Linked DNA regions of Arabidopsis thaliana. The protein of the gene in region 3 interacts with the protein of the main gene of each other region in a pairwise test. Each region holds a gene or a part of one and is shown on either strand. Other genes may lie near its edges.

Region 1 (4,742 bases), on a different chromosome or scaffold from region 3:
ACTGTTCCAATCTTGTCGAACAATTTGTGGATCAAAATTATCAATAAATTGCTTCTGTACGGATCGATCAGTGTTTTCGCAGTAATTTAGGTTTCGAATTACAACAACCAAATTGGATCGGTTACCAAAAACAAGTTGTACATACCATAGATAGCATGGAAAATATCACACCCGTATTAAATATTTGAATTAAAACCACTAAAAAGTTGTTTATAAGTGTATAGTTGTGTTAGGGCTTGGATAATTTATGTGGGCAATTTGGGTCTGAATAACTTTTTAGATTAGCCCATGTAGCATAACACCCACCCAACAGAACACGCCACCAAACACCCATATTTTATTTGGGAAATATGGGCTTCACTTTTGTAACAAACCCAATAACTTGTGCTACATGGGCTGGGCTAATCTCAAGACACAACTCTACACGATGTAACAAGCTAAACTCATAGTTTCGAATCTGATTGGAATTTAATTTTGTAAAGTAAAATATTACGGATTGTTTAAAAAAAAGAAATTGATCTTCGGTGAATTTTTATCTGCTATAAAAACAGAACAATAGTTAATTACTTACTTATATTCATTCAAAGTTAAATTCCAAAATGCTGAAACTCAAATGGACATAACTTACCCCAGTCGAAATAGTTAACTATATATTACCGGCGGTAAAAGCTGAGATAAAATAACTAATCTGTTCAAACTTTGTATATACTTAATTTCAAAGGCGATCAAATAAAAAACAGTCAGGTTCCTGAGTCAAGATTTGTAGTCAAAACCTTACTCTGATCCGTTATAGCCAAACTTGACTTTCCCTTTGTATGTTCATCAGTCTATTAATATTGATATCAAAACTGTACGTACAATAACGTACTGCACCAAATTTTATCAACAAACAAAAAATAGACTATACATAATTACGTATCAACTTCTAAAAGTTGTAGTGTAGTGATAAATGATAACGGATTGATTTGTATTTACCTTAAGGCTTAAACTGATCCATATATAATTTTATTCTTCATATGAAAATTTTGGTAAAGCCAATATAATTTTTGTGTGGTTGGTAACAACTGAAAATAATTAGGGCTATCGCAAAAGTACAACCGTACAATGAACTAATTTGCAATTTCTGAGAAGAATTTTGTTAGTGAAAGTCTGAGTCAACAAAACAAAAATTCAGGGAATTGAATGAATGATTGGGTCCCTTTATGAAACTCCCCATGAAACATCGTATGTAACTATCAGTGACTTCTTGTGCATCATGCTGAACTTCTAATCTCTTTTTTTTTTTTTTTTTTCTAATCTCTTTTAAATAGTAAAATCTACAAAAATATGATCCATTACTCATTTATATCAATATTTAAAATAAAATAAAATCTATATATCAATATAATTCAAGATGCAAACATTTAAAATTTACCTTACAATGATGTGAGTATATGTTACCTCCTATTTTTTATGTTTTAAACCGTATAAAATTTTCATATGCTGTTGGCTGTGGAAAAAGGGAAAACATGGTTATTAACTAAAAGCCCCATTTGGGATGTTTTGATTAGAAATTTTTATCTTGAAAAAATAAACTAAAGCCATTAGTGTTTTCTTTGTCGATGGAAAAAAAAGACATCACCTTTTGAAGAAAAAAATGACATCACCTTACTATTTTCTAGAAGCATAATCAAAGACGATTATATTTTGTCATAACGAAATAGTGTGGGGGGACGTGCAAAATTCTACTCACGTGTAAATACTTGGTAAGTTTTCAGTAGTTTTTTCTTAGGCTGTTTCACGTGATGTAACAGGATTTCATCAAAGAAGGCGTGCTTTGACCCAATCTAATGAAAATACACTATGATTTTTGGTAATTTTAATACTTTTGATGGTGATAGTGATATATAAATTTTAATGTTTGGTCCTTCAAGGCTGCTAGATTTTATTAACGGTCAACATGTCTTAATGATCAAAGGTCCTATCTATGCACAAAGCCATGTGCTTTTCGATTGATCTCAGTAAATGTTGAATGATTGTTGCTTTGTATAACAAATAGTTACCTTGTTTAATATTCTCAACAATAGGTTATAAAAATAATTATATGTAGTTAATCTTTGATTTTAAATAATTACTATTAAGTTATTTTCTTGCAGTTTCAAAATTGTTTTAAGTTTACCGTTGCTGTTAAATTCTAAAGAATATACAGAATGCAGTAATTGTTTCATCAACAGATGTATAAAAAGTCTTTAATTAGTCAAAAAAATTCTTCATTCATAAAATTCATTGGTAAGCATTTCTAGACTAGAGCCGTAAATATTTTCGGCCAATATAATAATTAGGAAAATATTTATTAGGAATTCAACGAATATGATAAAAAACGTTGGTCGTCGAAAATGTATCATGACGTCAGGAAGAAAAAAAACAAGAAAAAAATAGGTCGTCACATATGTTTTCATGTAGGACAAGATTACGATTATAAAATCGTTTCAAAAAGAATACGAAAAAATTTACTTGAATGAGTCACTTCAGTACCCCACAGAGATTATATCTTTCTCTCTTTAATCTCTCTATAAATACCTAAGTATGCAACTATGCATATAAATCTACAAAACATCTGAACACCCAAAGACACAGGAAGAGAGCTAAAGCTGATATATACTAAGTACTAAGATCATTTGATCAACCTAATCATCAACACCACAAAATTTTCTTTTCTTGTTTCTCTAATCGATTAATTTAGTAATAATGTCTGGAAGAGGGAAAGTGAAATCGGAGCCGATGAAGGTTGTGTTCATTAACACACAGTATGTTGAGACAGATGCTCGTAGCTTCAAGACCGTTGTTCAAGAACTCACCGGTAAGAACGCCATCGTCGCCGCCGGTCCTTTTGATTCGCCCTCTGCTTTCGACGGCCGTTGTTACGATGGCGGTAGTAAAATCGGTGAAGATACCAGACAGCTCCACGGCGGTGGCGGCGGAGGAGGACGAATGGGGACGACGACGGAGTTCGATAGATTATTCAAAGAGATGCCTCACATGGAAGAATTGTATAAACTATGGTCAGAATATTGAGTCATTAATAATTTCTGTGCAATGATTTTTAAATCATTCGTTTTCTTCCAAAATCTTTTCTTTTTTATCTAATGAGATAATGTTGTTGTTGATTTGATTTAATCATCTTAACTGGATCGTCACTCTTGAGATTAGGTCCAATAACGAATGTTGTGTTTTGGAAAGTAATTATGAGTTACCTTTCAGTACGGCCCATGTCTCCGAATTTTAAACGGGCTTATTATAGCTTTCATATGTTGTTTAAAAGGACCATGAAGCCCAAGTATATGCGAGATTAATACTTGGTTCTCTTATTTTCTGTGTATTTGGGTTTTAGAACCAATTATCAAAACAAGAAGTGTGAGTGTGTGACAAAGGCATTGAAAGCGACTAGCAGATTAAGAAGTCAGGCCTCAACTATGGGCTTTTCTCTATGGGGCGTCTTTGCTACCCAAGTCCAACTAGGTATTACTTTTTTTTCCATATTTTTTATATATTTATATTTCATGTTTTTCTTTTCTTGCAAAATAATGTTTTTAACTAAAAGAATTTTGATTTCACTAAAATTAGTAATTTCACTAAAAACTGTTTAATTCTTGTGACTATTTCACAATTTTTAGAATCCAACATGCGATACAGTTCACAACAACCAAATGAAGCATTATATGAACTAATCTTCTTGTGTTTATATATAAAACAGGTTTTTGTGTAAGTGCGTAAATGGCTGAGGCAAATAGCAACAAAACTCATGGTTAACCTTCTCTAACCAACCTTAACCAATTTTGTGTTGGGTGAACCATTTCCTTTCATCAACCCAAAACACACTCACGATTTTAATCGTCTCATCTACAATTCTTGTTTTATTTAACGTTCTTTCTTAATCTAGCTTTCTGGTAGTTATTTTCAGGGTTTTTTCTGGTATATAGTTGGGTTGATTCAACGATTATCCGAAACATTATACGTCAACATACAATACAAGTCTATTAAAAATTATTAGCTAATAGAAGTAGAACCTACTAAGCTATATTGTCGTCAACAAGAACCATTTTTAAATTCAATTAAATATAACATTAACGCCGACTAATCTAGTTTATGAAATATCACCAAAACTTTGAACACATAATGAGTCTCGTAACACACCAAAGATACTAACTTCTTTATTTTTTTCCATTAATAAATTTGATGGTAAATTACGAATATTGGACTATACAATTATGCAAATGCGACAAACAAAGATACAATTAAAGAATAAAATGTTAAAAAAGACATTATTCTGATCCAACTCGGTGCTTAAGACAAAACCGCCTTCACAAGATTTCGTATATTCTAATCCTTTTTTGGTCAACAAACAAAAAAAAACATAAATAAACGTAACGACGTCGTTTTACACGAAAATGAAAAACACACGCGAAGAAAGAAGCGCGTGGAGAGGAAGAAAGAAGCAAAGAGTTGGATTCTTTGGCTCGTCTCTTACTCCATCGTTTCCTGTTCCCTTTTAGCTTCTCCACATCATCACCATCTCTCTCTCTCTCTCTCTCTCTCTCTCTCTCTTCTGAGATTTTTCCGTCGAAATATTAAAAAGAAATTTGCAGATACAGAACTTGTTCTAATCTCTCTCTGTTTTTTTTCCCTATGAATTTTATATAATACGAAAGAGACACACAACACTGTATTATCTTTGCTTCTCTCTTCTCTCTCTTTCTATCTCT
Region 2 (4,510 bases), 7.8 Mb from region 3:
TCCTTCTTCCCCAGCAGGGAACAATACGTGTTAGCATGTGGGACTCAATCATATATCCGCATCTACATTCATATAATAAAACAACATATAAGATTAGTTTTCTTTTGCAACACTAATTTTTAAAAAATGTTTTAATTAATCAACAATAATCATGAGAAACAATCTATACTATATAAAAAGGCAGGTTTCCCAGTGTGAATAAGTTTTCACCTAATGCAGCACGAGTGTTGAATTAGCATTGTGCAAATTTGGATTAGTTGATTAATCAGCAACCACTTTTGTCCTCAGAAATCGAATTAAAATTTTCAAAAATTAATTGCCAGCCAAACAAGATATATACACAACACAAGTTTGGAACTGGGAACCACGTCAAGTAAAGAGATGGTGGGGCCCATAACCCATACGGCTCTAACGTTTTTGACAACATTGCTTCTTTAGCCGCTCGTGTGGTCCGGATCCAAAAGAGAGCACAAGACTCGTGTTTCCGTATACAAACCCAATTCTTTCATTGGAGTTTCACCTCTCTTTCTTTTTCTCAGCCTTTGGATTTCTTTCATATCCCAACTCTTCACGTGTACATGTACATCCGATGGCTATTATCCGTTTTAAATCTTAGGTAAACAAGATATAGTATGGTAAATATATTGCTTATTCTAGTTCAATTGTTGGTATGATATCTATACCACACAAATATAATATTAGAAAGTCTTGGCTTAATTATACAAAACATCTCTTGTTAGTAAGAATGATATATGTATGCCCTCTAACATGTTCTTGTTCAAGTTTTTCAACTAGTGTGTGTATATTTATACTTTCTATATAAAATATATAGGACGTTACTTGACTCGAAACAGATGTATTGTTTTCTATTTGTTTGTGATTGGTTTGTTTTGTATAAGACAGTGTATCGCTTGTCCAATATATTATATAGTGTGTTTGGATGTGATAAGTACTGTAGAGATTTCAAGATAATTGTTTCTTATATCCAACAAGCGTTAGAAAATCAAACAAGCATAGACATACACTACACATTATAATTCACAAATATTGTACAAAAACACTTAGGAATTGAATTTGTTAAAAGGTCAATTTGATTCGCAAGGTAAAAAGGAAAAGAGATAAGATAAAAGTAAACCAAGTAAAATGGAGAGTCGTCAGGAAGTGGAACTGCCTCGTGCACCCGAGGGTCATGCCATTTCCATGTCCTTACATTATTACGTCCGATTTCGTACAATCTTATCTTCCTTTTTTTGGTGATAAAGTGTACATTAATTCTTATCTTTTCATGTCTTGTTACTATTCATAAGTTCGTTTAAATGGTTATTAACCTCTCATGACATTTCACAAGTTCATTTCATAAGTTCGTCTTGTTACTATTCATAAGTTCGTTTAAATGGTTATTAACCTATCATGACATTTCACACACATATATACGTATTTAAAATTTAGTTTTATATATACCACTAGCTGTGACATTTGTGGTTCTTAATTATCAAGACATGTCTATACGTTAAATTTACACCTTGCATATATAATTCTTTCAAATTATGTCATCCAATTTAGTTTAGTTAAACATGTACTATCTGAGATTCTCGTTGTTAAGGCTGTAATCATAGATTATAAAAAGTGTTGGTAGTGGTCCACACAAATTGTATTTTTATGTTGAACTTTAGAGATTGCAAATGATAAGGTGGTTGAGTTTGTGTACATTACATGGGGACAAGTTTCTGCAATCCTATAGGCATTTATTTAATTGAAGCCACCTGGATTTATGCGTAATACCTTAACTAAACACACATTGCCAAATATACTAATGACAACTTTTACTTTATTTCGACTATGTTGAGATAAAAAATACATTTCAATTGGAAATATTGTATGTGTCACCTTCATGAATTATATAAACTCCAACTTTAATATTGTATCGTTTTTACACCATGTGTACACATTTACTTGTATGAATGCGAAAACGATTACAAATTACATGCAATATCGTACGTGGATCTCTGACCACAAAAATTTAATATCAATGATACTAAATTACAATATGCTAAAAATATAATGAATTAATGTCTTAAGACATTCCAAAACGAGGATTTTGTTATAGTTGGAGGGGTCCCTGGACTTCCTTTGGATTCATAAATCTCATGTCTTCGGAGACAGCCTGACACATCTCTTTCATCAATATTCAATATAAGTGTAATCTCATATTGTATGTTAATTATTCAAACTATAGTTTATCTATTGAATCTCAACAAGACATCAATCAATATTATTTGCCTTTATTAATAATATATTCAGGATCTTTACGTTCTGCTACGATATAAACTAGAAATACGAGTTGACAAAAAAGAAAAAGAAAAGGAAAAGGATTAAACATATATTACCTAGTTGTCACTAAAACTTGTACATCTAAAATAGTTGATTTTTCTTTACCATTTTCTTCTATCTTTTCTCCTATATAACCTTAACCTTATCACATTTCACTTACCAAAAAAAATCACCAACTCTCTCTTCTGATCACATAAACCCTAATTTTTATTCTTCTACAAAACTATGGAAATTGAAGCTACTACTGTTCAGAAAAGAAGAAGCTTACCAACAATAGCCATGCACAAACAGTCAAGAACACTCACCAAATCTAAACCTAAGATCCGAATCATTCACATATTCGCACCGGAGATCATTAAGACCGATGTCGCCAACTTCCGGGAAATCGTCCAGAATCTCACCGGGAAACAAGATCATCATCACCACGATCTCCCCCACCAAAAGGGTCTCAAAAGAAACCCTAGATCTAGAAGAAGTCATGATCATCATGAAGTCCATGACATGAACAAGAGCCATGGATTTTGCATAAACTCAGATGAAGAGGAAGAAGGGATGGTGTCGATGACGTGGAACGGAAATGGTGACGAGAGCTCCGGTGGGTTCTTGAACGGGTTAGGAGATCTCGACGGCTTCATTCAGGAGCTAGGTGAATTTCCTTATTTACCCTTCACCATTGACCCTGCCGTTGCTTCTTCCTCCCACTTACATGGCAACGTTTTCGCAGAACCTCACCATTACGCCTAAAACGTCTCAAGCGGAAGAATCTTTTAAACATTTTATTTCTTTAAAATAGGTTAAAACTTTTAATAATTTTTTGTTTTCTTCTTTTATATACTTTCTAGAAGCTAATTTTTGTTTTTTTCGATAATTGAAATGTTTGACTTTCTAGACAATATTCTTGTGGAATCGTGGGAGGTTCGGGTTTACGATTATTACGAGTTCTATTTCTGCATAATTTTTTCCCTCTGGTTTTGTATTTTTTATATGATTACACTATAATCTAGTAAGTAGGTATGAAATTTTATAAATCTATATAATTCAAATCCACATTATAATAATGATAAATCACAAATAGAATTTCGCAAACTTTTTACCAAGAAAATCCTTATTAAATATGTAAGGATTATGAAAATCTATAACAAAATATCATTGGGATTGGCTATAGCGTAATTAACTAACACTATCTGAATATAATGGACGTTTAGAAATTCTATGTATACTTTTTTCCTCACTTGCGATGTGTTTTTCTCGCTTATCCAAATGGACTGAGAAATAGACTTATTGATCGATTGACTGATACTTAACATAAGATAAGTACAAATGGGACCATAATTAATCAAGATAACAAATATAATATTTTAAAATTACAGATATGAGCCGACAAGTAACCACAATTACAAACGTGTATATATGCATGTGTGTCACGGTGGTGATGGTGATGATGCATGATGATGATGGAACTACACATGACACATCAAAAGATAACCCGCATCATGTATTCATATTTGATCAAGTTGGCATTATAAATCAACTAAGAAAAATATTAAATCTGAGCTGCCTCTTACATAGAAAGAGTTTATTAAGATGATCAAAACAGAGAATCTGCAAGTACTTGGATAACTTGAGAAGATTTGCCGAGCGAACACAAAAGAAGGAAGGGGTTTTGATGTATGGAGATGACCCTCAAGTTATTAACGTCATACATTTACAGACACCAACTTGGTGGTTGGTTCTTGTAATATAACACACAGAGAACATAGGAACAAGAACAAGAACAATGGCTAGTCACATCTAACTATCATATTCGATAGTTTCTACAACGGTCGATGATGGTGTTTCTATCCTCGTTAGAACTTCAGGCACTCCTTCGGTATCTCTTACTATCTACGAGAAAAAACAACCAAAAGCGGATAAAACTCGGTTAGTGCAACGATCTCAGTCTCTCTCACCATTCTTAACAAAATATTCAACAAACTTACAAGAATCTCTTCATCTAGATAAGATATCATGAAAAATCTTTCAAAGGATCCACCTGAAGCAAACATCACTAGTTGGTTCAGTGCAGATTTGAGCGGAAAATGGTTAAATGTATAAAAAATGGATAAAGTAGCTTACTAAGGGGAATTCTCAGACCACTGGCTAGAGTATCCTTGATAAGAGCAGGAAGCTGCTGCAACGT
Region 3 (3,852 bases):
GTTTGTAATCTTCTATTTTATGGTTTGTAATAAAACGCCTTTGGTGGCACTTGAACTTATTTATGGGATTCTTGGAAAATGCATTTAAAATCTTCTTCCTAATCAAAACCAGAGATAATGTATTGGATTAGCTTGTCATCCTAATATGTGTGTGTGTGGTTATGAAGAACTCTATATGCTTTTGGTGATTTGGTTCCTTTGATGGTGGTTGATATTTCCTTGATTATATACCCAATTCATATCTCTAAACCAAGTGAATATTTTATTTTTGTTTTAACGCATCTCCAAGTAAATGTTTTTTTATTCCTAAAGTTTTCTCTAAAGAAAAAATAAATATATATAGAAATCTGTATTAACGAGTAATTTTGGGTTTAATAATACTTTTTAATGTTAGGTTTTAGTTGGTAACTTCATAAATTAATCCAAATTTTTTGAGATTTTCTTTGAATGTTATTATCTCAATACTCTCTTACTTTCTTTGGTCAAAATTATCTCTTTTAAATGATTTTTTTATCCTGTCACAAAAAAAAACATATCCTTGTTTTATTTAGCTTTGGAAAAAAAAACAAGAAACTTGATATATCTTTTCAGACATCACATACTCTGCTTCAATGGCTACATCTCTTCAAACCAAATACACTCTAAATCCCATCACAAACAACATCCCAAGAAGCCACCGTCCATCGTTTCTCCGTGTCACTTCCACCACCAACTCTCAGCCTAACCATGAGATGAAGCTTGTTGTTGAGCAACGACTTGTGAATCCTCCTCTCTCCAACGACCCAACTCTACAATCTACATGGACTCACCGGTTATGGGTTGCAGCTGGCTGCACCACCGTGTTTGTCTCTTTTTCCAAATCAATCATTGGAGCATTTGGTTCTCATCTCTGGCTCGAACCATCTTTAGCCGGTTTCGCCGGGTATATCTTAGCAGATCTAGGTTCTGGTGTGTACCACTGGGCCACCGATAACTACGGTGATGAGTCTACGCCTCTAGTAGGAATCCATATCGAAGACTCTCAAGATCATCACAAGTGTCCATGGACAATCACCAAACGGCAATTTGCAAACAATCTACATTTTATGGCTCGAGGCACAACCTTGATAGTTCTCCCACTAGACCTTGCTTTTGATGACCATGTGGTTCATGGCTTTGTAAGCATGTTTGCATTTTGTGTATTGTTTTGTCAGTTGTTCCATGCTTGGGCTCATGGAACGAAGAGCAAGCTTCCACCTCTTGTGGTTGGGTTGCAAGACATTGGGCTTCTTGTTTCACGGATACATCACATGAATCATCACCGAGCACCGTATAACAACAATTACTGCGTAGTGAGTGGGGTGTGGAACAAGGTTTTGGATGAAAGCAATGTCTTTAAGGCAATGGAGATGGTGTTGTATATCCAACTTGGGGTGAGACCGAGGTCATGGACCGAGCCAAACTACGAATGACGGAAGAAACCGACATATCCAAATGTTAGCCGTCACTTTTAGCTATATTCTTCGCTTTAAGTGGGAAAAACTCGATTTTTTAGCCGCGGCTTCGAGATTAATTTATATTTAGTTTAAGATATAATATGTCAAAAACCAAATGTTTTCTTTTACTTAAAAACATGTAGATCACAATTGTGATAGATTTGATAAGTTTAATATATCATTTTTGGGTAAATGTAACAATTTCTAAAATGTTTGCATTGTATGGAAAGTGATATTCAAGGTTTGTAGATAGGATATCTTTCTCCGTTATACATATTTTTTTTTTCTATGCGGATAATTGAGTCTCATCACTTATCGAGATATCTCTTTACATTATTGCTTTTACTCTGACACTCGGAAGCAAAAGTTTTGTTTGCTTGTTATATTGTGTAGTTGTGGACCTAAACAGTTTTCAGGATCCTAACGGAAGGTAACTAATTAAGGCACAACCTTATTTCATACCACCCAACCAAAGTTCAAATGTTTAATTTATATCTAATAATTTCTTATGCGTTAATATATACTTAATCTTTTAAATAAAATTAAATTACATACCTAATTTATCAAATTATATGCAAAATTATATATTCTGCTGACGTTAGATACCACATATTTGATGATAATGATGACATGAATGCCATGTTACTAATGACACCGTTGCCATGTCATCTAGATTATTTTTTAACAAAAACTACGTTAATCCAAAAATGTACTCATTGCTTTTCACCTAACATTTAAATAAACAAGAAAATAAAAATAGTTAGCACACCCACGTTGACATTTCAATTCCATGAATCATCCCATCTCGTTCCCATTCATTTCACTTAAAAGTCAAAAACCAAGTAAGCCGCAAAAGAAGATCATAAAACCCAAAATGACTTACACGCTTCAAAACGTTGACATAATAATGCCGTCCACACACTTATAAATACTTATATGTGTACACACAAAGCCATCAAGGTAAGACACTTCGCTTCAAATCATTTGTGTATTACAGAAACTTCTGATCGTCATGGAAGCTACTTCACAACCATGTTTCTCTCATAACTCCTCACTTCATTCGACCCGTAAGCAACCGGCAAAGCCATGGAAAAAACCCGTAACGGGCTTGCCTCAGAGGATGCATCCTAAAGTTTACAGAGTCGAGCCTGTTAACTTCAAGGAGTTAGTTCAGAGGCTAACTGGTGCAGAAGACGTTGAGCAAGAGGTACATCAAGTTGAAGCTAAACCAGTCAAGATTTCTGATGATACAACAACAGCTAAGGATAATCCGTTCGCGTTTGATCTTTCACCTTCGTCATCTCGGTTCTGGGAAGCTTTCCCTCTGCTTAGTCCTGCTAATCTATCAAGATGGTAGCAAGAAAGAAGCTATTCTTGCCAATTTTTCGGCAATTCATGAATTTGTTTCATCAGAATTAGAACTGTAGTAGTAACACTTTATGATCTTATCTTTAAATACAAAAGTTACTGTTACATTACAAAACTACAATTTGATATAACCAATGATTCAAAACCGACCTTTTCGAACATTTGTTTACGAAATTTACGCGCTACCTATTGATCCCAGTAGTTTCTCAGCTGCGACATGTGAAGAAGAAGCTCGTCTCTGCCTAAACCAGATACACTACTCGTCAAAATCCAAGGAGGATGTACTTTAAAATTCTCTCTAATGATTTGTTGGAAAGCTTTAATGTTCTCATCAGGTCTTTTCCCTTTCGTTGCTTTCATTTTATCGCATTTCGTAAACACGAAAGTCATCGGTACCTGAAAAATCATCGAAAAACGTCATTTAACAAGTCCTCAAAGCAACATTTCACTGAACACACAAAAGCCAGAATTGGTACCACATACATTGTTGCGACCAAGCCAATTAGCACAATCAAGATCAATCTTCTGAGGAGGAACACTTGCATCGATGAGAAGTAGAACACAAACAAGACTGTCTCTATTCAAGAAGTAACCTTTAGTAAACGCAGACCAATCTGTTTTCGCAGCATCTGAAACTTTAGCAAATCTGCAAATATATTCTCAACATCAAACAATAATAACGTTTATCTGAAAGCAAGATATCAACAAATACATATCCAAATCCACTATGTATCAGTTCAAACCGAGTTAGCCAACTCAACCGGTTCGGTTCGGAACCACCTTACTAAATTTACCAAAACTTAATTCTAAGTTTAAGTAAAATTACTAATAGACTATACTAAACTGAAATTTTATCCAAATGTACCAGTTCAGAACTAAGCCAATCGAACTACCAAACCAAAAATACCGAACTCTTATCCTAAATTTTACCAAAATGAACTGAAATATACCAAATTTAGCCAAAGAAAACTGATTGTTTTATCCAAAAGCAAGAGATCAAAACACATAC
Region 4 (4,745 bases), on a different chromosome or scaffold from region 3:
CATAACTATATCCTTTTATTCTATAAACATATCGGACTAATATTTTTTTATGGGTTTGTGCAGGTGCTACGGTGAAACTAGTGTGTAAGAGCAAGAAGAACATAACAGCGGAGACGACGACAGACAAGAACGGATACTTCTTGTTGTTGGCTCCTAAGACGGTGACGAACTTCGGTTTCAGAGGATGTCGTGTGTATTTGGTGAAATCAAAGGACTACAAATGCAGCAAAGTCTCAAAGCTCTTCGGTGGAGATGTCGGCGCTGAACTTAAGCCTGAGAAAAAGCTGGGAAAATCTACGGTGGTCGTCAACAAGCTCGTATACGGTCTCTTTAACGTTGGTCCATTTGCCTTTAACCCGTCTTGCCCCAAATGAAGATGATTTGATGCTCTGGTTACTATCTTGATTGTTTCATGTTTAAAAAGATTGAGAGAGAGTGTTGTTATGCGTCTACTGTACGGTTGAATTTTAATCAATGTTAGCTAGTCTTTAAGTTAAATGCTTGGGTATTATGTTGTATCTCTTTAAGTGACGTCGTTTGAGTTTCGTTTGAATAAAAATAGCAGCTTTCAAGATGATTCCATTACATTACAAAACGAATGAGCAAAATGAATGTTAACTATAGAATCTTACAATTAGAATGTGTAACTAAATGAATAACTTGAATATTATTTTCTTTCTCAACTTGTATATCTTTTTTGTTTGATCAAATAAAAATGATAAAAATAGTTACGCTGCAGACAAAAAAAAAAATGATTACAAAGAAGGGTGAAAAGCTCGATGGGAAGGGGGACTCATCGAATAGGGTTTCTAGTCTGTTCTTGAATACGGAGAAAAATCAGCTGCGTAATTGTCGGCCACGGGGCTGACATTATTTCCCATCACAATCTCAAAGTTACAAAGGACAAATAATAATTCAAGATATTAATAAAAAACAGTTTTAACAAAAAGTGTTAAACAAGATTCAAGAAGAGTTTATGGGTTGTGGCGGGACGATTAAGCGATTGTACATTTAAAAAAAAAAAAATATTTTATAGGGTGTCATGGATCAAGATTCTCCTTAGCTCATAAAGCTTCTCACGTGCTCTCTTAAAAATGTTAACCGGGTTGTTATGCATTGGTTAATTAGGCCTCTACATTTCGGGTCAATAGAAAAAGTATGTTGTACACACTCACTTGGCGTAAACTAGTAACAGTATCATGATTGATTTTTTTTACAACTTCTCCTTGTCACTATAATTCAGTTTTTTATGAAGCAAAGAAGAATTTAGTCGCATTGAGAAGAAGCTAATTTGATGAAAGTGTTGATCACCTGTTTAATTATCGAAATTGTATATTGCGGTGTGAATCTTTTCTAACTTCACTCTTATTTTCTTCTTTGAACAGACACGAGATCAAATATCTATCCATGAGAGATTCATAAGGTTTGATCATTTCTAGTATTGACTATTTGGATAAAAGCATTTCACCAAAAATCGTAAGAGTGAAAAGGAAGAAGGTTTTGAATCTCAAGCCTAAATTCTAGCATCAAAATTCAAACATCTAACGTATTGAATAATGAATATGTCATCGATACTCCATAGTTTGATAACACCAATGTGAAAATATAAACTATATATAATACATGGCCCAAATAAATGAACACTAACTGGGCTCGGTTTCTTAACCCACACCGAACCCGTTTGGCAACAAGTAAAGCAACAACCTAAGTACACATAGATTTTCAATAAATATAAGGCCCAAAAAACTATTAAAGCCCAACATCTCTCCACATATGTTAAGTTCACTTAGTCAAACGACTAAAACCCAATGATTAGATTACTTCCAAGATAAGCATTTCTTGGTTGAATATATATATCACGACGACACGTAGATAAATCAACTTACCATAACATTCATTTCGAGTTATATTAATTCTATTGACCAAAAGGTCACATAAACGTCCTAGTCATCTAAACCATCATTGCTTATTGAGTTCAACATTTTCCTCTCATGATATTCAATGTTCTTTGGGTAAATTATCTCTACCTCTATCATTTATTGCCAAGACTAAAACCAAATAGAGCACATTTTTCCTCCCACTTTCAACGACGGCGCGTGACACGCACTCTCTAAATCAGCGCGTGAGCAAAGACCTAAAGAAACTAGAAAAAAGACTAAAGAGCCAATAGCGCCCACCGAAAACATTTTCTTACCGAACCAAAACACAAAGCTTATTAAACTCAAAAACAAAACACAGTTTCTCTCTCTCTCTCTCTCTCTCTCTCTCTCTCTCTCTCTCTCTCTCTCTAAAAGCTCTCTTCTCTTACAATGGAGAATTCACCGAGATACAGAGAAGCGACGAATCTGATTCCGTCGCCGAGATGTCACAACAGCAACAACAGTTGCGGTATGAGCAGTAGCAGTGAAAGTAACAAACCACCAACAACTCCGACCCGACACGTAACCACAAGATCCGAATCCGGTAACCCGTACCCGACAACATTCGTCCAAGCAGATACTTCTTCCTTCAAACAAGTCGTCCAGATGCTAACCGGATCCGCCGAGAGACCCAAACACGGTTCATCTCTCAAACCAAACCCGACCCATCATCAACCCGACCCAAGATCCACTCCTTCTTCTTTCTCAATCCCACCAATCAAAGCCGTACCTAACAAGAAACAGTCTTCTTCTTCAGCATCAGGGTTTCGTCTCTACGAGCGTCGTAATTCAATGAAGAATCTCAAAATCAATCCTTTAAACCCGGTTTTTAACCCGGTTAATTCAGCTTTCTCTCCCCGTAAACCGGAGATCCTCTCTCCAAGCATCTTAGATTTCCCATCTCTCGTTCTCAGCCCGGTTACGCCTCTTATACCCGACCCGTTTGATCGATCCGGGTCATCAAACCAAAGCCCCAACGAGCTTGCTGCGGAGGAGAAAGCAATGAAAGAGAGAGGCTTTTATTTGCATCCATCTCCGGCAACAACTCCGATGGATCCAGAGCCTCGACTTCTTCCTCTATTCCCGGTGACTTCTCCTAGAGTCTCAGGTTCTTCATCAGCTTCTACTTCTTGAAAAAAAGACCTAATTTTTCTTTTTTACTCAAATTTTTATTATCCTTTTGTGATCTTAATTATATATTATAATTGGGGAATTGAGATGAATCATGTTGAGAATTATACGAGAAAATTTGTAATGTTGAGATGTTTGCTAAATCCAATTCGCGATTTCAATTGTATTAATGGTTTAATATTGATGAGTTTATTCTGCAGAATTTGATAAATTAGATTAGTACTGATAATAATTCAGTGAGTTTTGTACAATTTTAGTGAAATGAGCAAATTGTTTTTTGTTTCTATTCTATTTTATTTCCATAAACACACAATTAGTTGCATTCTACATTTGTTTTTTTTCAGTAAACAAAAGATGAAGAGATTGGTCTTTAGAGGGAACCAAATTGGTCCAACCTTTTTTTGCTAAGGATTGATGAAAGGGTAAACAAAAAGAAAAAGGAGTGTGGAAAATAAAAGAGATTTTTTTCTTGTTATTATTATTTTCATATTTTCTCCTTAGAAAAAGGAGAATACGAAATTGAAAAAAAGAAAGAAAAGAGTAAATTGGATAGAAGGAAGATAAAGAGTGGGGCTTAGCTGTCTAAAAGAGAGAGTATTAATTAAGAGGTAAGGAATCTTTTGACTATATTTTCTTTGAATTCATGATTTGATGATAGGGTTTTTAGAGATTTGACCGCTTTTACCTATATTTGTGGCCTAATGAATGATAATGATATTGTTTGTTTTTAACCGTAACAAGAACAAAAAATTGTGGTTTTGGATACATTAGAGTACAAGTTTTGGTTGTGGTCACTATTGGGTCTAATAATATCTTGGGGTAAAAAATTATGTTTTGAGTGTTTCGTTTTAAAATATAGTTGAAGGTGGACTTAGTGGCATATGGATTGAGGTAATGGGCATATGCTAAATTGGCCCCATATGATTTTTATCTTTTGAATATTTCTTGGTCAAAGGTTTTTTTGTTTAGAGTAAAATTAGGCTTGTTGGAAACTTTCAAAAATTAGGTGTTTTAATTGGTTACACAAAATGGACGTGGTCAAAAGAAATAATTAACACTTTAATTATGTTAGTATTTATCATTGAATGGTCTTCGAAGACTAAAAATTAAATTAAACTTGACTCAATCTTCTCATGGTGGACCGGATCTATTATCTCTTCTCTCTCTAAACAAAAAAAATTCTCATGTGAAGAGAGTTGAAGTGTGGGCCCCATTTCCACTATTGGTGCTATTGAGAAGTTGACCTATTTTTAAAATTTCTCTCTTTATAAAACAAAAAATAATATCCTAAATTTTATTTTATTTTTAACTTTTCCACTCTTTTGTGAATATATATGTACTATTGATCAAATCTTACCCACTAGAATCTAATCCCGATTTTTTTTTATCATGTTGTACCTAAATTCCTTAAATATATACCAAGATTTAGATGACAAATGCTTCTTCATTTACAAGTTACAACAAAGAATATTATTCCATACAATAAAATGAGAAAGGTTATTTGTAAAATTTCATTTTCTAGTATATTTAAAAAAGTTAAGCTTTTTTTTTTGTGGTTTTCAAAATTAGAAAGCAAAAAAAGAAAAGTCAAAAAGTAATGGAGATGTGGTGTGAATAGCAATAATGTTTCAAAGTTAGGTTCTCATCTCACTTCAAAGTCTACTTTGGCTCTATTTCTTTTTAAAATTTAATGAC

The links.
Region 1: the proteins of AT2G22880 (region 3) and AT1G78410 interact in a two-hybrid assay, tested with the Arabidopsis thaliana proteins (one study listed by BioGRID).
Region 2: the proteins of AT2G22880 (region 3) and AT2G42140 interact in a two-hybrid assay, tested with the Arabidopsis thaliana proteins (one study listed by BioGRID).
Region 4: the proteins of AT2G22880 (region 3) and AT1G28280 interact in a two-hybrid assay, tested with the Arabidopsis thaliana proteins (one study listed by BioGRID).

Annotation. Positions count from the first base shown.
Region 1 is NC_003070.9:29,500,001-29,504,742, forward strand, and holds AT1G78410 (VQ motif-containing protein), read left to right. Parts: upstream 1-2,581; 5' UTR 2,582-2,727; coding exon 2,728-3,054; 3' UTR 3,055-3,498; intron 3,499-3,733; 3' UTR 3,734-3,938; downstream 3,939-4,742. UniProt on the Arabidopsis thaliana protein: May modulate WRKY transcription factor activities.
Region 2 is NC_003071.7:17,567,529-17,572,038, reverse strand, and holds AT2G42140 (VQ motif-containing protein), read left to right. Parts: upstream 1-2,369; 5' UTR 2,370-2,556; coding exon 2,557-3,075; 3' UTR 3,076-3,362; downstream 3,363-4,510. Other genes in the region: AT2G42130 (Plastid-lipid associated protein PAP / fibrillin family protein), read right to left, coding at 4,123-4,215, 4,311-4,363, 4,447-4,510. UniProt on the Arabidopsis thaliana protein: May function as positive regulator of plant growth.
Region 3 is NC_003071.7:9,740,099-9,743,950, reverse strand, and holds AT2G22880 (VQ motif-containing protein), read left to right. Parts: upstream 1-2,487; coding exon 2,488-2,832; downstream 2,833-3,852. Other genes in the region: AT2G22890 (Kua-ubiquitin conjugating enzyme hybrid localization domain-containing protein), read left to right, coding at 612-1,451; EMB2001 (P-loop containing nucleoside triphosphate hydrolases superfamily protein), read right to left, coding at 3,030-3,239, 3,327-3,489.
Region 4 is NC_003070.9:9,884,960-9,889,704, reverse strand, and holds AT1G28280 (VQ motif-containing protein), read left to right. Parts: upstream 1-2,226; 5' UTR 2,227-2,309; coding exon 2,310-3,053; 3' UTR 3,054-3,394; coding exon of another isoform or gene 3,395-3,408; 3' UTR 3,409-3,628; downstream 3,629-4,745. Other genes in the region: AGP31 (arabinogalactan protein 31), read left to right, coding at 64-374.